Linked DNA regions of Mus musculus: regions 2, 3 and 4 are each reported to be linked to region 1. Evidence: microRNA targets listed by miRTarBase, many of them from high-throughput screens and not tested one by one. Region 1 holds a microRNA gene; each other region holds the end of a gene's coding sequence.
What was found. The annotated mature microRNA mmu-miR-362-5p reads AAUCCUUGGAACCUAGGUGUGAAU and lies in region 1 at 4,993-5,016, opposite strand. An mRNA with a match to its seed (bases 2 to 7 or 8) in the 3' UTR can be bound and repressed. Matches are read on the target gene's strand: a 7mer-m8 pairs with bases 2 to 8, a 7mer-A1 pairs with bases 2 to 7 and ends in A, and an 8mer does both.

Region 2: miRTarBase lists Bmp2 as a target of mmu-miR-362-5p. Seed matches in the 3' UTR shown: 7mer-A1 at 5,502-5,508.
Region 3: the mRNA of Pnn is a reported target of mmu-miR-362-5p. The part of its 3' UTR that is shown has no 7-base or 8-base seed match.
Region 4: miRTarBase lists Mmd as a target of mmu-miR-362-5p. Seed matches in the 3' UTR shown: 8mer at 4,650-4,657.

The regions. Positions count from the first base shown.
Region 1 is chrX:7,237,027-7,244,151 of GRCm38, forward strand. It overlaps Mir362 (microRNA 362), which reads right to left and starts at 5,020; the gene lies at 4,956-5,020. The region is part of intron 2 of Clcn5 (chloride channel, voltage-sensitive 5); the gene reads right to left. Mir500 (microRNA 500) reads right to left here and starts at 748; the gene lies at 657-748. It overlaps Mir501 (microRNA 501), which reads right to left and starts at 4,325; the gene lies at 4,217-4,325.
Region 2 is chr2:133,560,646-133,567,770 of GRCm38, reverse strand. Bmp2 (bone morphogenetic protein 2) reads right to left here. Exons shown (of 3, transcript NM_007553.3): 3 at 4,875-6,897. The coding sequence ends at 6,056. It overlaps Mir3090 (microRNA 3090), which reads right to left and starts at 3,063; the gene lies at 2,977-3,063.
Region 3 is chr12:59,071,974-59,079,098 of GRCm38, reverse strand. Pnn (pinin) reads right to left here. Exons shown (of 9, transcript NM_008891.2): 9 at 5,082-7,125. The coding sequence ends at 6,286. Among named protein-coding and RNA genes, the nearest start is that of Pnn, 8.6 kb to the right of the region's middle.
Region 4 is chr11:90,275,902-90,283,026 of GRCm38, reverse strand. Mmd (monocyte to macrophage differentiation-associated) reads right to left here. Exons shown (of 7, transcript NM_026178.2): 7 at 4,454-6,364. The coding sequence ends at 6,164. Among named protein-coding and RNA genes, the nearest start is that of Mmd, 30 kb to the right of the region's middle.

The DNA of each region.
Region 1 (7,125 bases):
GAAAAATAGTTGTAGGAAGAAAAATATGTACATGTGTGGGGAATTTGCACATTTGCAGGTTATACAGGCATTTGAGCTTGTACTCTATAGATATCACTATTTGAGGTCATTACTGTGTCCATGTACACTGTTGATCCAGATGGAGTTTGTTCCTAAAGGTGCTCACCAGAGACTACATGCAGTAATCTGGCCCTTATTGTCCATCCATTACCATACTCTCAACATTAAACTGAATGCCCAATATACAGTAGAAACTAGACATTGGGGAGGGGAGAAGGCAGATCTAATAGTTCTTTGTCCTTCCAGTGAATCTTTAGCTAGAAACCATGTCTGAAACAATACTCACCTCTAGGCTGTGAGGAAGTAGAAAAACATATCAGGTTTGAACTCCTGACCTCATCCTGTATAACCATACAGGACAGAATACAGAGAAAGCCTACACACTCCAGGTACCTGAGTATTTTATAAGTTAGCTGTAGAAAGAAGCCAACTAGAGTACCTGAAATCTCTTAAATAATCTGTTAGGGGGTTCCCTGGTATACATGACTCACTCAAACAACTATTTTACTCAATAGAGGGAAGGAAGGGGGAGGGGGAAAGAAGGAGGGAGGGGTAGGCTGACACACAGGGTCTCTGGTCCTTCTTGATGCAGATGAGCTCACCTTCTCTGAACCCTTGCCCAGGTGCATTGCATTGAGATAGCACTAAGCACCCAGATAGCAAGGATTAGAGAGGGGGAGCAGAGGAGAAGGACCAGGGCCTTGAGTACTCAATGTGCAGGGGGGGAGGCGGGGGGGGGAGATGGGGGGGGCGGGAAGCACTGTACTATACACCAATATGAAAGCAGAAATGAGAAGTCTTACACTTTGTGTGTTTCTGTAGATTAAAAAGTCCCATTTTGTGACTCACCATCAACTGAAAACATGGAGATGCCACTCCCTACGCATCTCTTTTGAGGGTGAGAGCTAGTCTATCTTGGGGACTACCACCTGCTCAGCATGGTGTCAGCAAATTTGTACTTGTTGGGGGAGAAATGAGAAAGCACTGATTTACAGGTAATTGCCCTTCTATAAGGAAGTAAAAGGCCCCTCTAACCCTCAAAGAGTAGAATGTTGTCAATGAGATAACATTCATATCTAGATGACAAAGACAACAGAGAGGGGGAGGCAAGCAGAAGACTTTATCTTGACGTTCATACCACATGTGTGTGCACAGGTATACTCTACGTATGAACAAATGAAGAAAAAGCCTACATTCCAATACCCTGAGCTCATTTCTAACCTCGGAAGCTATATCATGAAGAAGCTTAATCTCCATAGGCCCAGTAGACAGTAGAGCTAGCATTTCAGACAGCTTAGTTCACTGCAGCACTACCAAACATTAGGAATTCAATCGATCTGGATGACCAGAACAAAATACAAATGCAAGCAACCTGTTAAAAGAGCAAGAAAAAGAATGAGAAGTGGTGCATAGGCTTCTCCTATAAGTATGTAAGGCTCAGGGTTTGTATTTTTGCATAATCCCAGTGCACTGATAAGAGCATTCATGCAAAGCAAAATGGCACAGCCTTTAAATACCAACACTCAGGAGAGTAAAACAGGAAAATTATGAAATTGTAGCCAGCCAGACTATATTGTAAGATTTTATCTGAAAGGGAATAAAATAAATGAAATGAAAAAAAAAACATGCATGCCAGGTCTTTAACAACAGGCAAGGGTGAACAAAACCTGGGGTTTAGTCACCTATACAACAGATGTGCATTTTTAGTGTGTAAGAAGAAAGTTCAATGCACATAAGCATAGACTGCGATTATGTCTCCTCTCCTGCCTTTTAGGTATTCAGAGAACTACATCTCTACTTCCATATGTCACATGTGCATCCACATGGAAACACACACGAGACTGAGAGCTCTTACTTCCTAGCTCCCTGAATGACTGCTCTCTCAGTAGGAAAGCAAATCTCACCACACATCCCTCCTCTGGAGAAAGCTATGCTCTTCAGCAGAACACTCCTGCAACAACACATAGCACAGCATAGTGAACAGTCAACATGTGCTAATTAAATCACCTGGCAGAAGATTCATGATGACAAGGCCCACTCTCATGTGTAATCCATGCACACAAGGAAGTGTTTGAGTTGGTTTTGGTTTTGTACACCAATTATGTGTCTGTCTATAATATTAGGTACATGCCTACAGAAATCATGCTACGGTTTCTCTCTCTTTGTTGCATATTCATTTGCCCACATGCCATCATCAAGTGTGGGAATGAGAAGGCAGGAGAGACCAGCTGAGCTTCTCCCAGACAGCCTGCATGAACATACATAAGAAAGAAGGGAACTCTTTCCTCTCTAGCCCCTCACCTGGCTGGATTCTGTGATTATAAGATTTGAGTGATCATCAGAATCAACTGGAAGGCTTAAAGAGAATATAAACTGCTCTGTGTTATGACCTGATAGGTCAGGGGTGGAACTCCGCACTTTGAATGCATTCCCATGTGACGGTGATGCTGCTGATTCAGGGATCCTGCCTTGAGAATCACCACTGTAAATGGCCATTCAGAACATGAAGCATCTGGACACGGTGGCACATCAGACCTATAATCCCAGCACCCAGAGCCTGAGGCAGGTGAACCAAGAGATCTGGGCTACTCTGGAATAGACAGCAAGTTCCAGGCTGGACTAAGCTACTTAGTTAGACCTCCCTCATCTGAATAAAAAATATACATGATATAAAGACTACTATTTTTAACATGAAAGAGATTCACTTTTCTTTTGGGATCACATGTTGCCCAGGCCAGCTTGCAAATGTGTGTAGAAAAGTATGACCTATGGAGGTGGGTATAGGAGAATCAGCTTGAGGGACAGAGCTACACAGTAAGACAGTAAGCTCCTGTCTTCAAATGGGAGTAGTGATGGTAGTTGACAAGAAGTCACTTAGTCTACTGGTCTTCGGGCTGAAGGGATGAGGAGAGGGAACAACACAATAGGCTCCATATCCACTCTTCCTGTGAGCGAGTGACTCCTCTCCACGTAGGCCCATGTGTTTAGGCATATCTAGGGCCATGGGAGGGGGAATAGTTTGAGAAATCTCATCTATCAGACCCTGCACTGAGTCATTCATACAGAATAGAAAACAAGGAACAATAGACCTAGGTCATTCTTTTGAACAGCAGTTGGTGAGTCTATAATAGTCAAGGATCTTAGTGTGTTTATTAGTCTCCTAAGAGAGTAGCACCTCTGTTCATTTTGTTTCCTGCTACATCCTCTATGACTAACAGAGCTGTATCAAATAGTGCATACCTGAATATTTGTGAAAGGAAGGAAAAGGAACAGGGGTGTGGACATATAGGGGCTCTGTCCTTTAAAGTGCAGGCGAAGTGCCACCCTTTGGATTCCTTGGACAGGACTTACTATTGAAAACAGCACTTGTGCTGAGGATTAATGTTCCTGATGAATCAGGTCAGATAATCCTCTCTGTGGGCACAAGTCTGTGAATCCTCTCCTCTGTATACACTGCATTTATATGGGACTGTGTTAAAATATGGAAGAATCCAAGTGGACAGTGTACATGAAGTCCCAGTCTACAGTCCACTCATGCAGGCATAATGGATGTGACACAGCTCACTCTCCCTGGACCATTTGCTCCCTGAACCACATGTGGTTCATACTCCTGTGGACCAAATCCCTAGTTGAGTACCTGCCATACTGAATAAATAGACAGGAAACAGTGGAAGGAGGCGTAAAGGTCCTACATGAAGATAACTCAATGTCTGAACCCTTGCCCAGGTATATTGCATTCGCAAAGCACACTCATCCAAGTAGCAAGTACTAGAAAGGCACAGCCTGCACCTATGCCCTTGGCATGTGGGTTCAACAAGAAGGCTTACTGTTCTTGCCCTGTGCATTCCTCCAAGAGTTGAACTAAAGAAGAATTTCTCTTCCAGGTGTCGGTATGAGAACTAGAATGAAAAGCTGCGCACTTATGTCAATACACAGTTTACTATGTGCCCCACTTGTTCTTGATACCTGTTAGGGTCATAAGTGGAAATAAAGTTCTACCTATAAAATCTAGGTGGGAAGAGGCCAAATTTGTCACATTTACTCTCCCATGCACCATGCCCGTTGTATTTGTAGAAGGAAAGAAGGTGGGGGGAGGCATAAAAGAAGTATGCAAGCAGCAAACAGATGAGATATGATGCACAGACCTCCTGTCCTTCTCCATGCAGATCAGGCTCACCTTCCCCAAATCCTTGCCCGGGTGCATTGCATACAAATAGCATTTTCACCCAGGGACAAAGGATTAGAGAGGATGAGCAGAGCAGAAGGCCCAGGCACCTGTACCATGTTTGTGTGGTTCTGTATATAATATTTAATTTTCCTTGTCCTGATTCAGCCAAGCATCACCACCTATACCCAAGCTTGACATCCCTGATTTATATATGTATCTGCCCCCTTCCCACCATGAGCATCCTCTCTCAGAGAAAACTTCTACGTATACAAAATGGTATCTCTCCCAGATCATACTTGAGAATTTGTGGGGGCCTGATTTATGTTTGGAAGGTAGCAAGAAGGCTGGGATCTGAGAATGCATATACATACTGAAAGAGGGCACAGTGGAGGAGGATACTCCATTCCTTTCCAATGCCTTTATACAATTCAAGCTTTGTGGAACAGGGGTTATCACTGGATGTAACAAACGGGTTGCCTGAGTAGCAGCACCTAATGTGTGCTCCTCATCACATGATCTGACACTTAGCAAACTGGGAATCAAGAAAGCTCATGCTGAGAATAGAAGCATGTCTACCAAACATGATAAAGACCATTTTGCTGTTAGAAAATGTGTAGAACCAAGTCTGACAGCTAAAACCAAAATCAAATGGTGGCCAGGAGGAGGGAAGGTGGCAGGTGAGATGTGCAAGTATGGGCCATTCTACACGCAGACAAGGCTCAGCCTCTTTGAATCCTTGAACAGGTGTGTTGCACTGAAGCAGCATTCACACCTAGGTTCCAAGGATTCGAGAGGGGGAGCAAGCAAGAAGGCTCAGGAACCTGCCCTTCCTGTGTGTGGTCAATATGCTTGTGTGCAACACACTAAAAGAGAACGAGAGATGCGCTCTGTCCTTTACAAACACAAAGGTCTGGCTCTCAGAATCCTTGCTGAAGAACACTCTCACCCAGGTAGCAAGGATCAGAGAACTGAAGCAGGGCAAAAGGCTCACAGCAAATGAACGCATGGGCTCACCTTTGACACAAGGTGCTTATCTGTGATGAGAAAGAAGACAATGTTCTTGAGCTTCACATTAAGTATGTCTAGGCACCTGAGTTCAACTCCCAGCCTCCACATAAAAGAGCCAAGCGTGAGGACTCAAAGAAAGCTAGATCCCTTGGCCTAACTGGTGAGTGCCAAGTCCCTATTAGAGACTGTTTCAAAAAACAGGGTAGATGTCCCCAAAGGGGAAGCACCTCAGGTTGACCTCTGCACCCTCCACACACATACACAGAAAGAGAGAGAGAGAGAGAGAGAGAGAGAGAGACAGAGTGACAGACAGACACAGAGACAAAGAGAGACAGAGACAGAGAGACAGACAGACAGACAGACAGACAGAGACAGAGAAACCTGTCTAAATATATACATTCATATTTTGTTCTGAGATTATAAAAATATAAAGCCAGAGATACAAAATACTGAAAGAAAAAAAGACAGAGAGACAGAGAGAAGAGGCCATAAGCTCACAAGATGGCAGTAGAGATTGGCATCCTTTAACACACATCAGCATCTTGTTAAAGTTACTTCAGATACCTGGAGGACTTGGTACTAAGATAACTTACAGAGGTTTCTCATTAGTGAGCTCAAGATTTTGTATTTCTAAAAGGGGCTGGGTGATGCTGGGGACCTTACCAGCATCATGGATAAGACAGAGAAACTGTGGAGTTTGGTATCTACAAACCCTGTTTCAAACCTATACTTCACCATGTACTGGATTAAAGAATCTACCTGCTTTCTCCAAGGTCATGGACTACTTCTAAAAAATGAGAATAACAAATGCTATCTCTTTAAAGAGTACCAAAAAAATTAGGTAAGATGCAAGCCTAGAGTAGGATGCAGGACCTGGCCCCTGGCTATTATTTTTACCTCTTACACTACCATTTTTGTACACATGTGTCTAAATGAATGTCCTGTTTACAATAGTATGGTCATACTCATATATGCAAAAGCCAGGTGAAGGAGGCATGAATATCAGTGACTCGGAGAATCTGTAAAAGGCAATGCAAGGACTGGCTCTCTGGTAATTCTTCTTCAATGTGCCTAAATCAACGAAGTTCACACCCCTTTCTGTGAGGGATATGAAAGACAAAATCACAAGTTTCAATCTTTCACTTTCCTACTATATGTCACAGAGAGTGAAGAGAGTCAGGAGTAAGGAGAGAGGGGAGAAGTAGAGAAGGGGGGAGAGCGAATATAAATGAATGACAGTAAGGCATTTTTCTCTATGAGAAAACAAGTGTATCAAACAAAAGAAACCTTCTATGCTCACGGGCCTATATATGATGTACACCTAGCTATAGATGGGCTTCATTCATATTTGTTCTCCTATCTACCCAGCTGATGCAAAAGCATATCTATGACTGTCTAGGTATGTGTTTACAAAAATGTCAGTGTTAACAAACAAGTATACCTTCCTATAACAGCTCCGTCAAAGATGAAAACCAAGAGAGCCCACTACCCTTCCTTAGAGGTGTAAGAGAACAAGGTTAGGGGAGCAGGACTCTGTTCCTGCTAAGCTGTCAGTGGGCCTCTGCATTTGAAGGTTGCCTATGTGTGCTGAGAACGTGATGAATCAGGTTTGACACTTAGAAAGTGGAGGCTAAAGTAAGGAAGTGCATCCTGCAGCTTCTCAGGCATGTATATGTGATCGTACACAGTGAGAATGATTTTCATCCTCCTGTATGCACATGCTACAAAGACTGGACTGCCCAACTTACCACTGGCTCCACATATCAGCACACTATCATACAATCAGAACTATAGTCACATACTACATGGTGTTTGGTAAGCCACAAACTACATATACAATAGTAGTCACATAACATTTCATCACCTAGTAATCCTTATTAGTTTAACTA
Region 2 (7,125 bases), not on the chromosome of region 1:
TACAACTCGCTCCTGGAGCACGTTACAGAAATCAGAAAATGACTTTGATTTCAAATTAGGCTTTCACGAAGGTTTTAGAAAACATTTTCAATACCATCTATCAGGCAAAAACTTGGGGTCGCTTCTTCGAGACAGGGCCCTCCACACCCAGGCTTGGTGCTTCTAAACATTGCCTCCAACAGGAATCACTCCCTGACATTGAAACAATTGGAGGAGCTTGGAGCCGGAGCTCAACTTTACTAGTGATTTAAAACATGCCCTTGGAAACCAAGTTAGCTTCCAGGTGGGAAGCAAGTTCCAGCAAATGGGAACAGCAGTTAAGAAAGCTTTCAGACAATCCTGAAGGAGCCAGACTTCAAAACACTCTTCAGGGTGAGGGAGATGGCTCAGTAACTAAATCGCTTTCTGCACAAGAAGAAGCAAGTGAATGAAGCGCTTTAGCACCCACATTAAAACATAGCTGGGTATGGTGGGTAATGTGTCTGGACCCCAGTGCTGGGGGTACACAAGGGGCGGAGACAGGAGGATCCCTGGGGCTCGCTGGCAGACAGCCTAGCTAAACTGATGAGAACCAGGTTCAGTGAGACGCCTTTTCTGAAAAACCAAGGCCCAGAGCTATTGAGAGAAACACTGGATGTTAACCTCTGACCTCCACACGGCTGTGCACACATGTGCACGTGCACCTGAATACACATGTGCAAACACATGATCGCTGTACACACACACACACACACACACACACACACACACACACACACACAATTTCTACCAGTAAGCTATCTACTCAGCAAAAAACAGGAAGAGACAAGATCTTTGAAAGAAACCTGCACCTTCCCCATAAAGTCAGAGATAAAAGAGTTCAGCCACTCAAAATTTGTCGTCTTTAAAAATGCCTTTTGAATCGCTAAATTTTGTCTGCTTGGTTGTCTAGCAACCAAGTGCTGAACAGAAACTCCACCCAAACACAGTGAAGCAGCACATTCAGTTCATCAGGCTATGTGCATGCATGTGCGTGTGTGTGTGTGTGTGTGTGTGTGTGTGTGTGTGTGCATGTAGTGTCATCAACGTCTAAGATAGAAACTTGCTTGCATACAAAGAAGAGAAAGTCTTGATTGTAGATGGTACAATGACATGGGAAGCGAGGAAAAAGCAACAAGAAAATGTGCAATGCGGGATGAGGGTATAGTTTCCACACACTGGGCTAAGGCACGGTTTACACTCTTAAGCAATAAAAACAAACCATTAAGCGAGGCCCAGCCCCGTCAGGAAGTGTAAAACAGTTCTTGAAGCTTTGCAGTCGCTATACAAACGCTTTTCATAAACTCTGCTTCCTGATCTTCATTAAATGTTAACATCAAGTTGCCATGGGGCAATTAGCTTGCCTCCTGAAATCAATAAAAAATCAACAATTTGGAAATAGTTGTACAGTAAAATAGTTCAATAATTATTCTCTCATAGTGTTGTGGCCAAGCGGTTCTAGGGTAAATTCGGTCCAGATGAGTTCCTGCTCCTTATGAGGAGAGCTGTGAGCAGATCGGGGCTTTGCTGAGAGACCTCCTCATCAGAATGGACTGCAACAGTAATGGACTCCCAGCAATGCCTTGGCGAGGGGCCCAGCACACAGGCAAACACAAGCTTTTAAGTGCTGTTAAAGTCAGCGTATGGTGTAGCACCTCAGAGGGTCTCCATTCAGAGTTTAGAGACCTAAACAAAATGATAAATCCATAGGGATTGGCCAAGGGGGTGGGGTGGGGGACGGTTGATGCTCTTGCCTCAGCATTCAGACTCTAGACATGAGCAAACGAAAATTCCTTCAGAGATGTGCATGCATGTGTGTGCATGCGTGCATGTGAACATGTGTGCTTGTTAGCATGTACGTGTGTATGCAAATATGTGTGCTTGTATGTGTGTATGTGCACATGTCTGTTCACCCACAGGGATGTGTGTGTGTGTGTGTGTGTGTGCGTGTGTGTGTGTGTGCATGTGTGTGTGTGTGTGCGTGTGCGTGTGTGTGCGTGTGTGTGTGTGTGTGTGTGTGTGCATGTGTGTGTGTGTGTGTGTCTTACACAACAAGATTGGTTGAGATTAAGAATATATTCATCCTGACATTTCTTCAACAAATATTAAAGTCTGTGTTGCTTCTAAGAGTTTCTGAGAGCCGAGTAAGGTGCTGCCCAAGCTACCCTTGATCCCCACAGGGCATTCTGCTAACAAGTGGCATTCATGCCAAGCAAAGCCAGGAAGTTATTTCTGTGCTGACCCTCTTTGCAGAGGGAAACCCATTTTTTTCCCTAGCTTAAGCCCATTCACATAAGCACTTTATTCCAAGCCAACTGCAAAAAAGATTCGAACTTCCATTAGAACAAACCTCCCATACCAGATTTGGAGTCCTATGCCACCCTCTAGGTTCAATGAACTTATACAGTGTACTGTCTTATAACTTAGAAAAAAGTCAAGCATCATTTTAGTATAAACAAATGCTTCAACCATACGACATCTACCCTCTGCCTTCAAAGAGATCCCTTTAACTCAGGTGCTTGGCACTAACATCACACAGGAGCAGCTCAGCACACTGACTTAAGTGTTCAAGTTTTTTAAAGTACATTTCTAAGGACTTGCACCTGCTCCCTCATACATATAGATGTACTGACACGCATTTGACTAAACTGACTGCAGCGTGCCCAAGCAAGCAAGCAGAGCAGATTTTACAAGATAAGCAACCCAGTGTTTTCATGTCTAAGAGTGGCTAGAACATAAGATTGCCACTCATCTTGTTGGGAAAAAGAATGTCTTTGAAAAAAAAAAAACAAAAAACAAAACTGCAGGGCACTGATTCAGATGCCATGCAACGCAGCTTTGCCTTCTGTTTCTTCTCATTTACACATGGCTTTTACACACGAAGGGGCTGTACTTGAGCCAGCTTCTGTAGCCATGATCGAAAGAACAGTCCACACAACCTTGCTACTCAAACTGCAGTCCTCTGGCACAGTGAGTCAGGGTGTCACCTGGGAGCTCATTAGAAATTCAGGATCTCAGGCCCCACCCAGACCACTGGGACAGGAATCATAGGGTGGCAGGACTCCACCACGTGGGCTGTACACACATCAAGCTTTTTTGCTTTCCTGGAGGCATTCCTGATGACTGAGGTGCCCGCTAAACTCTAACAAGTTTTATTTAGAACTTTGGCCCCTCAAGTTAGTTAGAAGTTCACTTTGAAGTTGGTAGGGCGGGGAGCTGGTGAGAAAATTCTGCCCTAGAGGATGTCATAAGGCTTTAAGATATGGTGGCGGGGTGAAGGAAAGAGGAGATGCAATTTATCCAAGTAGATGTGTGTGCCCTGCCCCCTCAACCCCACCCTACCTGTCCCTTCCCCTGCAAGACATAAAACAGAAAAGGAATAGTGCAGGCTGTTGTGACCTCCTCACATATATGCCGATCTATAACGCCGCCCCCCTCGCCCCCACAATATAACCATTCTTTACTGCAAAGCTCTCTTCCTTTGTCCTTTCAATCAAAAAGTAGGGAGGGGCTCAGCATGTCAGCACCCAGTGAATCAGTATCTTAACAGCAAGGCAAGTGACTAGAAATTTGCTAAGTGATTTGGCTCATTTTCGATAGTACAGATGAGTGTTCTCCATCTTAAAAAAATAGAGAGAACACCTGAACCACTCGGGGTATATACCAATGACATAGCTCCATTTACTGTGACGTCTCTCTCTGAACCTAAATGGAAATCAGAAGTGCGACCATCTACATATGTAACATAATCTTCACATAGCTATGTATAAATTAGAACATGTACACACTATATGCACATACATGTATGTATATACCTATATGTCACATGGGGCCTGCTGTGCTACAAGTAATTTTAGCCAAGAAAATCAAGACCAATGAAGCAGAAAATATGTACTGGATAGACCTGCCAGAAGGTGGGATCCTTATGGAATGATCGCACTCCCATCTGGAGGACTTGGAGATGTAAATATGTGGTTCATTCATTTTATAAGATGTTAAGATTGCAGTTTGTTACAGTGCCCATGGCAAGCAAGAGACATTAGAGAATGACTGAAGGACCAGGAGGACAAGGCTACCCATAGTTGGGTCTAATCGTTTCTACCTGTGCAACAACTAAAGGGATAAGGAACACATCAAAAGCTAACCAGGGTAGTCATTTAAAACAAGATCTTCAGAACCTTAAGGTTTCCGAAGGTAAGTGTGCTTGGGGTCATTGCACGGAGGTCCTTGGGAAGAATTTAATTATAACAGTCTGTCTTGCTGTAAGCACACCGCTTTCCAAGTCAGTTCTAAGGCACGGGTCAGGAGAGGAGGTGAGACCTGGGCTTCAACCATGACGGAGGGCTACAGGACACACACTCCGGAAACTGACCTGAAACCCTGCCAGGAACTAGCACTGGATTCCCCAATCTGCAAACAGCCACAAAGCCCTCCCTCCCTAGGTTTTGCTTCCAACCTGAGCACCAAAGCTCTGCCATCATAGAGGACTCACTTTCCAGAACCTCATCTGACTTCACTCTGTTTGAGCATCTGGCCAATTGGTAGATGTGCTGAGACGCTGATCAGACATTCTTTAATTTTTTTAGGCACTGTGGCCTCTGTTGTATGATATATCATCTCTGGAACTTTACCTTGGGTTCTGCAAACTTTGCTTTGATTTAGGCATTGGCTTTCTCTCACTCCCCCCGCCCCCTTATGAAAACTACTAACTCATTGGTAAGTCCTTTGGTCCAACTGGGGTTTGCTTAGAATTCTCCAACCATTTAAGTCATGTCCCCACCCCAACCTTGTCATCATTCACCCAAGAAATGAAAATGCAAACACAGGTAGACACTGCAAACACAAACAAACCATTTGCTCTCACGGGTTAGGTTTTATAGGATGAAATGCCAGAATTTTGATATTTATTATCTGAAATGGGTTTAACATTTGGAGAAATATGTTCAAACACATATCCCTGGAAAGAAAAGCAAGCTGACAGGTCAGAGAACAGGGTGCAGGCAGGAAACATATGCTCAATTTTGCTGCGTGTCAGGCAAATGTAGAAAATTGGGTGCTTTGGAGAATAGAGAGATTGCTGATAGGGTAAACACAAAATACAAGCCAATTTCTGCTTCTTTATGAGGGCCCACAAGATAATCAATTGTACACATATATGACTACAATGTTAATAAAGAAGAAATATTATATTTTATTTAGTACTTTGGCCAGATCAGCCCCCTGGAAGGGATTATAGGCTTAAGAAAGAACAAGATGCCATCATCACTTCCTGACATAGTCACAGTTTTCCTAATTATTCCCACTGGTCCTGCTTTGTTCTTGCTGCAGGGAGGGTGGCGAGAGCTTTTCTATCAGATCAGTAATGTCTGGTTCTTATCCAAATATTCCCCCTAATAAGAATGAAAGTTCTCACGGATTGGACAACCACTCTGCAACATTCCTGAGAATTGAAGAATATAATCTTGAAAGTCAGCAAAGTAGATTATCCTTTTTTTTTTTTTTTGGACTTGAACTTGTGAACTTTAACAGTAGTGCTGCAAGAAACAGACAGCAAGTGTGCAAGCACTTTGCTCAGCAACCTTCCATGTAGACTTTGCATCTTAAATACACACAACTGAAAAACAACTACAATTCTTTTTGAAAATTATATACAAACCCGATATTTCTTCTGATTACATATAAATACAAATTAACTATCTTTTTTCCCTAAAAAGTGGTTATAATAGTAAATAAATACAAAATAACTCTGACCATTATACTTCATGTGCTGGAGTTGAACCCATATAAAATGTACAACTAAATACATTTTAAATCTTTAAGGAATAATTCTCTGATTAAAATATTTGTTTTCCCAACTTCTTTTCGTAGATATAAATATATTTTCAAAATAGCTGTGTTTTTTTCCATTCCATTCCATAAATAAAGTCTTCATTGGGAAATATTAAAGTGTCAGCTGGTTTTTTTGGGGGGGAGGCAGGGGGAGTAGGGTTTTTTCTGTTTCTAAAATATATATATTTATTTATTTATTCTTGCTGTGCTAACGACACCCGCAGCCCTCCACAACCATGTCCTGATAATTTTTTAGCACAACCTTTTCATTTTCATCTAGGTACAACATGGAGATTGCGCTGAGCTCTGTGGGGACACAGCATGCCTTAGGGATTTTGGAATTCACAGAGTTCACCAGAGTCTGCACTATGGCATGGTTAGTGGAGTTCAGGTGGTCAGCAAGGGGAAAAGGACACTCCCCATGGCAGTAAAAGGCATGATAGCCCGGAGGTGCCACGATCCAGTCATTCCACCCCACATCACTGAAGTCCACATACAAAGGGTGTCTCTTGCAGCTGGACTTGAGGCGCTTCCGCTGTTTGTGTTTGGCTTGACGCTTTTCTCGTTTGTGGAGCGGATGTCCTTTTCCATCATGTCCAAAAGTCACTAGCAATGGCCTTATCTGTGACCAGCTGTGTTCATCTTGGTGCAAAGACCTGCTAATCCTCACATGTCTCTTGGAGACACCTGGGTTCTCCTCTAAATGGGCCACTTCCACCACAAACCCATGGTTGGTGTGTCCCTGTGTGGTCCACCGCATCACAGCTGGGGTGACGTCGAAGCTCTCCCACTGACTTGTGTTCTGATTCACTAACCTGGTGTCCAATAGTCTGGTCACAGGAAATTTCAAGTTGGCTGCTGCAGGCTTTATAATTTCATAAATATTAATTCGGTGCTGGAAACTACTGTTTCCCAAAGCTTCCTGTATCTGTTCCCGGAAGATCTGGAGTTCTGCAGATGTGAGAAACTCGTCACTGGGGACAGAACTTAAATTGAAGAAGAAGCGCCGGGCCGTTTTCCCACTCATCTCTGGAAGTTCCTCCACGGCTTCTAGTTTGATCAGGGTGGAGAGAAAAAAGAAACGCATTTGGTAAGAGAGCCAATGGTAACTTAATTCCTTACGAGCATTTAAAACTTCAGTGCATGGTTTAAGTTAAACTACATAAAAACCTGCAACCAGAAATTAAAAATGTCAGGCCTAGAGATACAATGTCTGCCCCTCTGTCCATGGCCCTGAGTTTACTGCTTAACACAACATATATATATATATATATATAT
Region 3 (7,125 bases), not on the chromosome of region 1:
CCACATGGTGACTCACAACCATCTGTAATGGGATCTGATGCCCTCTTCTGGTGTGTCTGAAGACATCTACAGTGTACTCATACACATAAAAGAAAGAAATATTTCCTTAAAAAAGCTTATTTTTATTCCCCAAGTTAATCAGGGTGTTTGTGGTAACTTTTTGGGGGGGGGGGGTTTGAGACAGGGTTTCTCTGTGTAGCCTTGGCTGTCCTGGAACTCACTTTGTAGACCAGGCTGGCCTTGAACTCAGAGATCTACTTGCCTGCCTCTGCCTCCCAATTGCTGGGATTAAAGGCGTGCGCCACCATGCCCGGCCCTGTGGTAACTTTCTTCTAGGTAGTAACCCAGAGATCACAAATATATCCATTTTGTGAGTTTGCATCCTAGATCATGTGGCCTCTGAAATCATCACAAAAGTGGAAGAGAAAATGAAAAAAGCCTTGTATGAACTTCCATGGTCCAGCCTGAGAACATATCCTCTTTACCCATCGACACTGCAGAACCAAATCACATGGCCACAGCTAACTTCCAGGAAGGGAGAGGTGAGTGCCCAGGAAAGAAAAAGACTCAGCCTTATTTAAGCTAGCTTCTCTCCCTGCACCTCTGCAGGATGCTTTCCAGCAGATTCGCATTGCTAGTTCTACACCAGTCCTACTGAAGTATGCAGAGCACTTGATTGCCTCAGAATTTCACTAACAGTTATGTCAGGGGACAGTGCTACACACCTTTACTCCCAGTACTTGGGAGGCAGAGGCAGACAGATCTCTGGGTTCAAGGCCAGCCTGGTCTCTAAAGTGAATTCCAGAAAAGTAAGGGCTACACAGAGGAACCCAGTCTTGGAAAACAAAAACAAACAAACAAAAACAAGTAAATTTTAAAATGATAAATAAATAAACATTACAGTGTAATTTTGTTCACATTGGTTACAACTCTGAATCAAGAGTCCTAAGCCTAGATACCGTGTAGGACGGACGCTCTGTTCCACCCTGCCTGCTCAGAGCTGAGTCATATGCTTTCAGTTTCAGCAGAAGTCAAGTCTGATGGATCTTCAGGAAAGCTTAAGAGTTCCAAAGGTTAAATGACTAAACAGAAAATTATCCTGCAACCCCACCCTAAAAACAGGTCAGAAAGGACTAAGGACAACATGCTTGACATCTAGAAAAAGTAACTTTGCATTTGTTCCAGGGTATAGAATTATCAAACTATCAAGTTTTAAGTTAGCATCGTGAAGTTGGCAAGATGTCTCAATGGATAAAAAGTGCTTGCTGTCAAGTCTAAGGACCCGAGTTCAATTCCCAGGGTCAGATGGTAGAAGGCGAGGACCAATCCCCCAAAGTTGTCCTCTGACCTTTACACATGCTCCATAGCACACAGACCCATACACACACGAAATGAATAAACATTTAAAAGCAAGGTAGAGAATGATAAAGGGAGACACCTGAAGTCAATCTCTTGCCTTCACGTGTATATACATCCCCCACACACATGTACATGCATGAGTACACACATACACTGGCATGTGCACACACACACACACAAACACACAGACTTTCAAAATTATTCTCGGCTACATAGTGAGTTCGAGGCCAGCCTGAGATTCACAAAAAGTGAGATCCTAAAGGGGGGAGGGTCTGTGTCTGCATTTATGTATCTGCACTCATGCATGACTGTTGTCCACAGAAGCTAGAAGCCAGCATCAGATCCCTTGAAACTAGAGAGTTACAGGTGGTTTTGAGCCACCATGTAGGTAGGTACTAGGAACAGAATCTAAGGTCCTCTACAAGAGCAGCAGGCACTCCTAACTACTCAGCTTTCCCCACAGCCCCAAAGATTGTTTCTTATTTATACTAGAGTGATAAACATGAAGTTAGCATTAAACAGCTAACCTTTGACTAAGCCATCGAGAATCTGATGACACATCCAGGTTTCTGTGCCAATGACAGAAGAGACTGGGGAACTACAAGACCATGCCTATGGCTCTCTGTGAGTTCGTGTCTATATATAAGTAAATAAACTAGGCACGCAATGAAAGCAGAAAGCTCTAATACCAAATTCATGCAAACTCTGAGGAACTTAGTAAGAATGAAGAAAACCATCAAAGGTTTCCCATGGTCTATAGTTGACAGGATGCATGAAGAACTGAATCTCTTTCTGTTAAAATTGGTCCAACACTCTAAAGATGTTAATTATTTGTGGGAAAACTCTGAAAATTAAGGGCAAAATCCACCATGACCAGATAGACTCTGGGCTTAATGCAATATGGAAGACTCCCTTCATTAGCAGGGCTTGTCCTTCTCTGACCTTGTCTGGGGGATTCTTAGCCCCTACATAGAATTTCAGTAGCCTCAATTAGATTACAGGGCCAATTTCCTTTTTCCTGAGAAAACCTGTTCAGGCAGCACCTGAGATGGCTGAAATACTTCCCCAATGCTAATGAGGCATTCCAAGTACCTAAACCCCCAGCCAATGGCCTTTGCCTATCCTGGATGTTCCTATCCTCAATCTCCCCAAAACAAGCCTTGAAGCATCTTAAGTAAAGTTGATCTGCCTCCTGATAGCTGTATGGTGCAGTCATTCACCGTACATAGTCACAGAGCTTCCATTTCCCTTTGACATCTCTGTTCTCACTGCCCATGTGGACTGAGTTGACTGTTGATCCACGAGAACAGTGAGACCCACAATTATTCACAAGTAAAAATTAAAAGTTAATACAAGCACAACTAAAGTTAACAGTGAGTAGTGGTGGCACAGGCCTTTAATTCCAGCACCTGGAAGGTAGAGGCAGGCAGATCTCTTGAGTTAGAGGCCAGCCTGGACTATAGAGTGAGTTCCAGGGTAGCTAGAGAAATCCTGTCTAAAACAACCAAAATAAATAAAAATAAATCTTTTGGGCTCTTGGGAAATTATTCTAAAGTTTGCATGAAAGCTAAATGTAAGGACTAGAGAGATGGCCTAGCAGTTAAAATATGTACTCTGCTAGGTGTGGTGGCACACGCCTTTAATCCCAGCTCTCGGGAGGCAGAGGCAGGTGGATTTCTGAGTTCGAGGCCAGCCTGGTCTACAAAGTGAGTTCCAGGACAGCCAGGGCTATACAGAGAAACCCTGTCTCGAAACAAACAAACAAACAAACCTCAATTCAAGGTGGATCAATACTGAAGACTAGAAATTAACACCTAGAGTTCTACATAGCACAGTAGGGCTACTGTGGTTGTATTATTACATAATTCTATTATTACAAAAGCTAAGTTTGTTCCCTACATGTTTGAGATAACTTTTAAACCAACGACCCTGAACCATACTTAACCCTTCTGCCTCATTCTGTTTAGGCATCACAAGCATATATTATCATATCTAGTCCTATCTAGTATGGGGATCAAATGCAGTGCTTATATATGCAGGCAAGCCCTCTACCTGGGAGTGGCATCCCCAAGCCCTGTGTTTTTAAGAAGTTTACTTTTACATTATGTGTGTAATGTGTGCAATGTGCACGAGGGCAGGTGCTCAGAGCCCAGAAGCACCGGTCCACCTGGAGCCAGAATTACAGGCAGTCAGAAGCCATGGAGCCTGATCCTCTGGAAAAGCAGTATACACTCTTAACTGTAGAGACATCTCTCCAGCACCTCTAAGATCTTTTTAGTCTTCTACACCTCAAGAACTAAATAAACACCTCATTGGAAGGGTATGAAACCAATCTCCTCTACATTTAGTAAGAATTATCTATAAGTTTCCAATTTGCCTCAACTATCTCTAGGTGCTTTCATTTTAGGTATATTTGAAAAAGATATTTCTATACATGTACCATGATACATTCAAAGGTATTACTTATTATCAAACAACTGCAAACAATTTAGAAGCTAGTCAATAGAGCTATATGCTGCAAACCTTACTTTGAATGACTCACTTACAATCAGAACATGGAGGTCCCAGAGGGCATGGATGGGTCAGTTCCGCGAATTGCTTTGAGCTACTTTTCTCTATGATCAATGCTTATTACTAGCAAATACATGCTACACTATTTGGTAATAAGAAAGTGGAGGAGAGCCGGGTGGTGGTGGCGCACGCCTTTAATCCCAGCACTTGGGAGGCAGAGGCAGGTGGATTTCTGAGTTCGAGGCCAGCCTGGTCTACAAAGTGAGTTCCAGGACAGCCAGGGCTGCACAGAGAAACCCTGTCTCAAAAAACCAAAAAAAAAAAAAAAAAAAAAAAGAAAAAGTGGAGGAGATATGTGACCTGGGAGTTTACCCCTGGCTTCCATTCCCATGATGGCCACAACTAACTCCAAGGCACAGACAAGTGTTGCTTCTATATGGAATGCCTTTGCCCACTTAGAATTTAGGTATATCTACTAACAGAAAAGGGATTTCAAAGTCTGTTATTTCCCATCAGAGGGATGAATGTTAAACTCTAGTCATTTGGGTCTGGGGGTTAGAGCTCAGATGTAAAGTACCTGCTAACATACTTGACGCCCTGGGATTGATCCCAGGCACTATGAAACGGGGGGAAGGAGGGCATTGCTGTGCTTATGAGTTTGACAGTGAAGGTTGCAAAGATAGTAGTACCATAGTATGTATGCTTTAAATTAGAAAACAGCAAAATACTTAAATACACAAAACCTTAAAATATCCAGAAATGAGAGCTTTAAAAAAAATTTTTTAGGGTGGTTGTGGTAATACACATCTTAGGAGGACCTGTTTGTTCCTCAGCCTCCACAATGAACAATGCCTCACTCTCACTCTGAGGGATATAATGTCTTCTGGCTGCCTTGGTGCCTGCCTGCACACGCCCACAGACAAAACATTTAAGTAAAACATGTTATTGAGTACTCCTTTCTTGGAGTCCCCCTCCCACTATGTGCTAGGGGAGGGCTCCTGTCATTTCTAATCTAGTCAGTCCTTTACCAATCTGTCTCATTGCATAGCACAAGGCCAAAGCATTTTGCCAAGTACAAGCCGTTGGTTAAGCCCGTCTTGGCATCAGCATGCTTTTGGATGTAAGTGGTTCACTTAATCCAAGAAAAGGATTTTTAAAAATAATTCTTTTTCACATTTGCTTTAACACATGAGTGGTTCAGACACAAAACTAAATGAAGATATTTGTTCATTTTTCACTGAAACCATTTACTTATAGACAATATACTGAATATTTAATATCAGGCTAAAACTACAATGTTAAAATAGCCACTGTCATTTAAATGCTCTCATATGCATCAAAACTTTAATACAAGTACTAATTTTAAACAGTCACAAGTCTAAGTCACATTTATTTGCACATATATAGTAATGGGCAACAGATACTCCAGGTCCATACAAATTTATAAACAACAAAGTTAATAATCACTTGGTACACTTGTGTGTTATCTTGTTTACATATTCAAGTCTAGATGAACTTCCTTCATTGTGTAAACTTCCATACAATACTTCCTTAAACAAAAATTCTTGAAAACACAGATTGGCATGTTTCAGTTATAGCCAACAGAAAAGACAAGACCACAGATTCAAAAACCAAGTTTAGAAGAGATTTTTACCCGACCCCCACCACCCGGGAGGTGATAACTATAACAGATTACACTCTAAGTTGTTATCACACAAGGAGCTGAGAGGACAAGAGAATGTTGTTCTATAATCGTGAAATGACAACCAAATCGTACGGTTGAAGTTATCTACCAACTGAATGGTTTTAATGAAAAACAGAAAAATGCTTAGATTAAAAACTGTAAGATAGGAAATAAATGTTTTAAAAGAACTATTCCCTGTCAAAGCTGTAAAAACCTGGCAACTGTTTTCAGGCAAATCAAAGTGATGAAACCTTCAAAAACATCCTAATCATGTTCAGTATCTTGTGACAAAAACTGAAAATGATATAAAGATATTTATTATACAAGTGTCAACAAGGACATCCCAAAAATAATGAAAGATGCATATTTATTTCTACAAAAGCAATGTATGATACAGAACATAAGGAACAATTTAAAGATTTACCTATTAAAATATACGGATTCTGACTGAACAGTAATAGGGTAGTTAAAAAAGATGACAAAGGATGTTAATCTTTTTTTATTATTATCATTTTTACATATTTTGGAACCTCACATAATTTTGATAAATAACTCTTACAAAATTATGCAAAAAGTACAAGAATGTCTGGTAAACAAACAGTCTGTATTCTCCAAAAAGAATTTTTACAACATGCAATTCTTAAGGCAGCATCCTCTTTACAAGGTAATCCTTTTACTCATCAAGACATCTTCTGCTGCAAAGAATAGGCTAAGCAAGCCTGGCTTCTTCATTAACGCCTTTTGTCTTTCCTGTCTGATTTTCGGTCTCTTTCACTTCTTGAAGATCTTTTGCCTGATCGACTACTCTCTGATATAGACCTTTTTCTGTCAGGGCGGGAACTCTTATCCTTTGATCCTTTTGTATCTCTACTACTACCACCTTTTGAAGACTTGTGACTTCTTTCTAGTCCTGAAGTATCCCTTCGCTTCCGGTCCACGCTCCTTCTGTGCTTCCTATCTCGGTTATGTCCTCGGCCCCTACTGCGACTCCTACTCTCACTGCTACTGCTAGTGCTGCTGCTGCTGTCTCTGCTGCTGCTCCCACTCGTGCTGGAGCTGCTGCTGGAGCTGCTTCGACTACTGCTGCTGCCACTGCTGGAGCTGCTCCCGCTGCTGCTACTAGTAGAGCTGCTACTGGAACTACTGCTGCTGCTGCTCCGACTTCTACTCTTGCTTGTTTTATTCCTTGCTCGCCCCCTGCTCCTGCTCCTAGTCTTATTCTTGCTTTTGTTTTCTGAATGTACTGTCAAGACTGGCTCTACAGACACCTCAGGGAGTTTTATAGACTCTAGAGGAAAATCCTTCCGCTCAGGTAGTAGATTCCCTTGCTCCTGAATAACCTGAGGTGGAGGCTGCAAAACAGCTAATGGCAAAGTCTCAGGCTGACAGAGAGGCTGGGACTGGAGTACAGGCTGGGGCTGGGAGTGGGGCTGAGAATGGGGCTGGCTCTGGGGCAGGGGCTGAGGTGGGGGCTGAGGCTGAGCCACAGGCTCAGGTTGGGGCTCAGGTTCTTTCTCTTCTTTTTCCTCTTTCTCCTCAGACTCCTTTTCCACTTCCTGAGAATTAATATT
Region 4 (7,125 bases), not on the chromosome of region 1:
ACTCATGCACATAAAATAAACATAGTTGCTTACTGCCTTTAAACTCAAGTCATAAATACAAGTAGTGCTTTAAGTTCCTTGCATCACTGTTCATAATGATAAAATATTGAAAAGGAAACCTAAAAATTCTGAAACGAGCAAAATGTTCACTTCTGGAAAAATGGTAGAGACACTGAAAATTCTGGCTCTGTTTCTCAGCATGCAGGAGATCTCTGTTTAAAATCCCAGCATGGCAGCAAAAAGAAAAGAATATTCTGCTGACTAAAATGATGTTAAGCGTGTGTGTGTGTGTGTGTGTGTGTGTGTGTGTGTGTGTGTTAAACATGTGTTACAATATACACATGGAGGTCAGAGGAGAATTTTGAGGAGCTGTGTTTCTACTTGCATTGTGTAGGTCTTAGCAATGGAACTCAGGCGGCCAGGCTTGGCAGCAAATGCCATGACCTGCTGTGCTATCTTACCGGCGGAGAGCTATATAATATTTTTAAACCTGTATGGAAAGAAAGTGTGGAAAATGCAGTGCCATGTAAATGTTTTTTTTAAAGGATTTGTTCTTATTGCAATGTTTAATTCTGTGTATGTGTATCTATGTCTCTGGCCCATGAATGAAGAAGGTACCTGCTGAAGCCGAAGGCATTGGGTTCCCCTGGAGCTGGAGTGACAGGGTTCTGCAAGAGCCACATGTGCTCTTAAACACCGAGCCAGCTCTCCAGCCCCTACAATTTTTATGTATGGGATAGACAGCTGCATAAAACAAAAGCCAGGACTGGAGAAGTGGCTCAGTGGTTAAGAGCACTGGCTCTTTTTCTAGAAATCCTGAGTTCAATTCCCAGCAACCACATGGTGGCTCACAACCATCTGTAATAGGATCTGATGCCCTCTTCTGGTGGGTCTGAAGACAGCTACAGTGTATTCATATACATAAAATAAATAAATATTAAAAAAAGAACCCAGAAATCATATCCTATAAATATGGGAAAAGAAGATGGACTAGTCGTATATGAGTATTCAAATGAGTAAACTCAGGCATTTAAATTTTTTGTATATTTTTTCTAGAACCATACACTTGCATGATGTGGGGATAAAAATATATTATATAATATCAATAAGTAATTTTAGAGTTACTGCTTTTCAGAATAATCTGCATTAAGACTCCAGGGACGCAGAACCAAGTGCTGATTCTGTTCATTTTATTATTAAGTCAGAAAAGAAGGAAGGGCCACAGGGAAATAAGGAAGGCAGGAATCATTTTCCAAGCTCATAAACTGTTGCTGGGTTTTATGAAAGCATTGATAAACAAGTGTTGCTTTTCTTTACTTAGGATAGTGTCTAACGTTCACATTCCAGTTCCCCAATTTCCTTGTGGCTTATACAAGCTTTCTGAAACTCAAAGTCGGGTTCCAACCATTCCAGAGAAGCCTACCTCTGAGATCTAAATAACACCGTATCTCCTGGGAACTCTCTTTCACCCAACAAACTCTCCCCTTGAGCCCGGCTTGACACTAGAAGCTAAGAACAGAGGTAGAGCGAGACTCACTTCTTTTTTGACAGACTTCCTTCTCAGGACGAGAAACCAGGAGATAGCAAACACCATCAATATGTGACAAGCTGTGGAGGGATGCCAAAGCTGTTGTCTTACACAGGAAGACATCTAACCATGCCAGGCACCTGTGTGCATCCCGAGGCAGGTGGGACTGAGCATGCTGTCCGATTAAGCAGGGTTTCGGTAAGTACAACTCACGCCTAGCTGCAGCAGACTCTAAAGCAACAAGTGGGCACAGGCATTGGGTTGTGAGGTTGCCAAAGTTACCAGCTGCAGGGTTGTCCTGGGCTTCATTAAAAGAGGCAAGGTCAGACAGCATCTTTGTGAGAAGAGTTCAGACGGAGGCACTGAACAGGCATCTCTGGGCCTAGCAATGGGAGTTCTAAGCACAGCAGTCATGTGCAGGTCTTATGTTAGGAAAAGGATGCTGGAGGCAGGGTGGGGGCTGAATTTGTTCAAAGATGCTTCAGCCTGGGTAGAGATACGAGGGTGGCAGCATTGCTCTGAGGGTTTGCTAGAGCCTTGTAGTTGGGGAGAGAGGTGAGGAACCCCATTGTGGAGGGATGAAGAAGGCACAGATTACAGCCTTGAAGACTGGTTGTAGGGAAGGGTGGTGAGAGAAACCGAGGGCGGGTGGACTGGTGGTTGTTCATTTGAAAGACCTAGTCTTTAAAGACAATGTTGATGGGAGACATTAAGGGGGCATCACCAGGTGGGTGGGCACTCTAGAAATACATGATAGAATCCTGGAACTAGAGAACAGAAAACTCCTGGAAATAAGACTTCAAAGTTCTATGGAAAGATTGTTTGATCCTTACGAAGGCTCTTTGCCATATGAACATTGTTTTCTTTCTCGTGTCCATGCTTGGTGAATGTCCAGTTCAAGTCCTTTGATTTTGCTGACTCTAGTCTAATGCAGTGGTTCACCACAAAAGTGAGGCTGTGGAGTCGGGCGGACCTAGATCCCTTCCTCCATTTAGAATGAAGCAGTCATCTCTCTTACTGCCCAAACTACAGAGAGAGGTCAAGGGAGTAGTTCAGAGGTAAAATGTGTGTCCAGCGTGTAGGTACAAAGTTTAACCCCCAGCATCAGAAAAAAAAAAGTCAAGAATGAGTTATATCTACTACTGAAGTCGTGGTTAGGGTTATAGTGTTAAGTATAATCTAGTCATTGGGCATATGGAAGCTTTTAATCTGAATCCCACAATGGAGTACTTGCTTGAGATAAGCAAAAGTTCTCCTATGTAAAGACATATCTAAACACACACACTCGTAAAGACATATCTAAACACACACACACACACACACATATATATATATACATATACACACACATATATATATATGTACACACACACACGTAAAGACATATCTAAACACACACACACGTAAAGACATATCTAAACACACACACACACACACATATATACATATACACACACACATATATATATGTACACACACACACACACACACGTAAAGACATATCTAAACACACACACACACACACACACACACACACACATCCATCCTTCAGGCCTTGAGAGGAAAAGAACATGGCACTAAAGATGTTATAATATGGCTGGGCCTGGTGGCGCACGCCTTTAATCCCAGCACTTGGAAGGCAGAGGCAGGCGGATCTCTGAGTTCAAGGCCAGCCTGGTCTACAGAGTGAGCTCCAGGACAGCCAGGGCTACACAGAGAAACCCTGTCTCAGAAAACCACACACACACACAAAAGATGTTATAATATACTGGAAAAGTCTGGGTGGTGGTGGTGCACACCTTTAATCCCAGCACTCAGGAGGCAGAGGGATCTCTGTCAATGTGTGTGTATACATATACATACATATATACACATATACATGTATACGCGTGTGTATACACACACATATACACATATCCTGAAGAGTGAACAGTGACAGGGGTCTTAAAGGAAAGGCGCAGCTTCCTTTTAAACCTGGAGAGGGGCTTCACTATGACTGAAAATGAGGAGAGATCTAGAGAGACCGAGAGAGGGAGCACTCAGGAGTGTACTGCCATGAGAGGGGGGTGGTAGAAGGCCAGAAGAGCCTCTTCAGAGAGCAATCTTCAGAGCTCTTCCTTGAACAAATCCCAGGGAAGTCTCTAGACCAATCTCCGAACAACGGAAAACTGGGCTTTTTATAACCTTTAAGGGGAAGTTTCACATCAAGTGATTTAGTTCAATAGCATACGTGGCCAAGAGCGTGGAGGAGCCAGGTGCTGGCTGGGACTATAAACCGGGGGCTACACTTAGACCTCAGCACAGACAGTCTTTTCTTTATCCGAGAGAGCTGCAGGCAGGCATGGAGTGATCTCTTCAAACTGTGGGGCTTGGCCTTTTAAAAGTGACTACTGTTGTTTAGTTATGTACACACACACACACACACACACACACACACACACACACACACACACACACAAAATCAGATTCATCTATCTATCTATCTATCTATCTATCTATCTATCTATCTATCTATCTATCTATCTATCTATCTATCTATCTATCTGATAGAATCTCTCCCTACTTAGCTGGGACTGTGTAGACCATGTTAGTCTCAAACTCACTGAAACCCTCCTGGACCAGTTTCCTAAATGAGCTGAGATTACATGTCACATCAACACTCCCTGTAACCAGAATGAAGCTTGAGTTAGCTCAAGTCAGGAGAGAGAGAGAGAGAGAGAGAGAGAGAGAGAGAGAGAGAGAGAGAGAGAGAGAGAGAGAGAGAGAGAGAGAGAGAGAGAGAGAAAGTTAAAAATGAAAGGGCCAGTTTGTTTCCCTCTGCATACTGATTTTTTGGAAGACTACTACACAAATTACAAATGTGTGATTCGCTCAAGCACTCAAACACCCAGCATTACTCTCAGCCATATGCTCCAGACAATGGAGTCAACCCAAGTAACAACTTTATTCTAACCTACAGCACAAGTTCTCAAATACAGTTTAGTGGTTTTGACAGTGCTGCATATGAGCAGACTTTAAATGAATCCACAAAAAGTTAATATATTTAAAGTCAAATATACACAGTAAAATAACAGGCGGCTAACTGTTCAGAATCATGCATATACAGCGGTGTGGCTGGTGTTATCCTTGGGTACTCCTGACTACTGAAGACATCCCCAGCAACCAGTTCTTCAGTTGTTCCTTTACAATTTACCAAAAATCAGAGCCTAGACACACATACAAAATAAACTTTCTTTTAAACGTACAGCTGTCCAGAATTTCAATGAATAAACCATATCTTTAGTCTGACAGCTTGTTCCTAGACAGACAGGTTATAATAGCATCTGATCTAAAGGCAAGGTGACTTCATTTCTCTTAAACACCAAGAAAGATTAACCAACAAAGCAACTAATACATCAATCTTAATATAAGACATTGAGAGGAAACTAAAAATAATATATAAATATCACTCCACAGAGTCAGCATAAAACCCATCAACAACTGACACAAGCTTCAACCTGCCAATCAATGTTTTATTTATGGCGTGAGAAAAACATAATATATTGAGAAATGCAGAGGAAAAGGCAGAAATGTGAGTTTATGTGTCTAGTCCCACAATTAAAATGAATATCAAACTCATACAATAAAGTTAAGTGGCTTAACCACAATGACTTGAACCGTTGGGCACCAAAGTGGCAAATACAATTCGCCATGATTCAGAAAGCTCATGGCAGATGGGCAACCCAATAATACTATCATAATCCGGACAGGATCCTCCCCGACTGTGGAGAGAGACCCTGGAGAAAAACTGGGGCAAAGGCATGTAGCGAAGTTATGTCTTCTGAAAAAGTGGATGGTATCAAAACACTACTGTCTTACTCCTGGTGGCCCACACCAGTCATGGATGTCAGCCCAAAGCAGCACTGAGTTCAGGGTTAGAGATTGGCAGAAAAGGTTGGAAAAAACTGCAGTGTTTCTAAAAAATTGGCAAGTTCTCCACACTTAATAAAACTGCCAGAAGAGGTATAATGTTTGTTCGTGGAATGTTGACCGTTTGCTGCAAAAACCTCGCATGGATGAGGAGCCAGTGGGGGTGTGCGTCAATGGAATCGTTTCTTTAAAAATTTACAAAAGAACTAAAGCCTCCTTTTTAAAAAATAACCATGTTATGTCAAGATGAAACATGGTAAAAAGTAGTGTTCAGTTTCCATGATTCTTTTACACAGTGAACGGGAAACGTGATAGAAACAACTTTGGGTTTTCTTAAAAAGGAAGTTGTATTACTATTGCACTGACTTTGACAACCTGACCTACTTAATTTAGAAAAAAATCATCGTAGTTAAAATCTGTAAAAGAAAAATACAAAAATTTCTGGTTTGTAAACATCAGTTGGCCAAGTCTCTCCCGAGTCCTTCATGATAGTGGAATGGAATGAAGAATTGATTCACTACCTCATCTGTTGCCTGTGAAGAGGAAAACTCCGAGACACAGCTTTTATACTTTCACAGTAATTATATTAAAAAAAAATTAAAACGAAGTCAGTGCAAGTTTGCTCACTCTTCTTCTGTGTGCGACATTCAGTTCTCCCCCCGCCCCTCCCCCCACCCAAGTGCCTCCATCGTGATAATACTGATTTGAAAACCTAGCACAGACTGGTCATAAATGCCGAATAAAGTCTGTGGGACTTCGGTACAGGTATTTCCAAATGGCATAGTAGTGTACGGCAGCTGCCGTGGCCACAAACAGGTGCCAGATGGCATGGGCGAACGGAATGATGCCATCGCTCTTGAAGAACACAACTCCCAAGCAGTAAATCAATCCCCCACAGGCGAGCTCCTGAAGTCCGTCAGTGTTATTCTGTCAACAGAGATGGGAGGGTGGGGGAAGAAGATCTGATGTTACTCTGATGTGAGTTACTGCCCTTGCCCCTCCCTCCCCCCCAAGAAATCTCCTGGTTTTCTGAACAGTTAAAATCGCAGTGAACAACATCCTTATCTGTAAACAGAAAGCAACTGTAAATGCCTCACCAGCTTGACCCTCTCGATCTACAGACATGGATCCGATCATTGCACACATTATAGGCTCCACAAGACAGTGCTAATTCTGCTCATTTAACTGTGCCTAAGCAGATTGTAATCATGGTTAGCCGTGACGTGCCTGCCAAGGCTGAGTGACCTTCATGTACCAGATTACCCCTTGGAAGCCTCCTTCTCCATCTGACAGGCCCAAGAAACTGGTTTATAATTTATATCTTAGCCAGGCTTGCTGCACGCCTTCACCTCCCTCTCACCACATGTACCGATTGGGTTTTTCTCCCTCTGATCTTTGCAGCATGTACGAATTAAGGGAGTCTTTACTACTGACAAGGGACACATCACACTGTCTTAGGGATATCCTAATTTGCCCCATGCTTCTGGGTGTTAAATCTAAGTCCTATATGTTTTAAGTCAAAAGCAAGATTTTTTTTTTTGTTAAGGCTGTCTCGAGAGATCCAAAGACCCAGACCCATGTACAGAGTAAACTATAAAGAGACTGGTGCTGCAGGGGAAGGGGCGGTGCCCGAGGGAGAAGCAGAGGCCAAACCAAGAGGGTAGCCAGCCCTTAGAAGGGAACAAGAA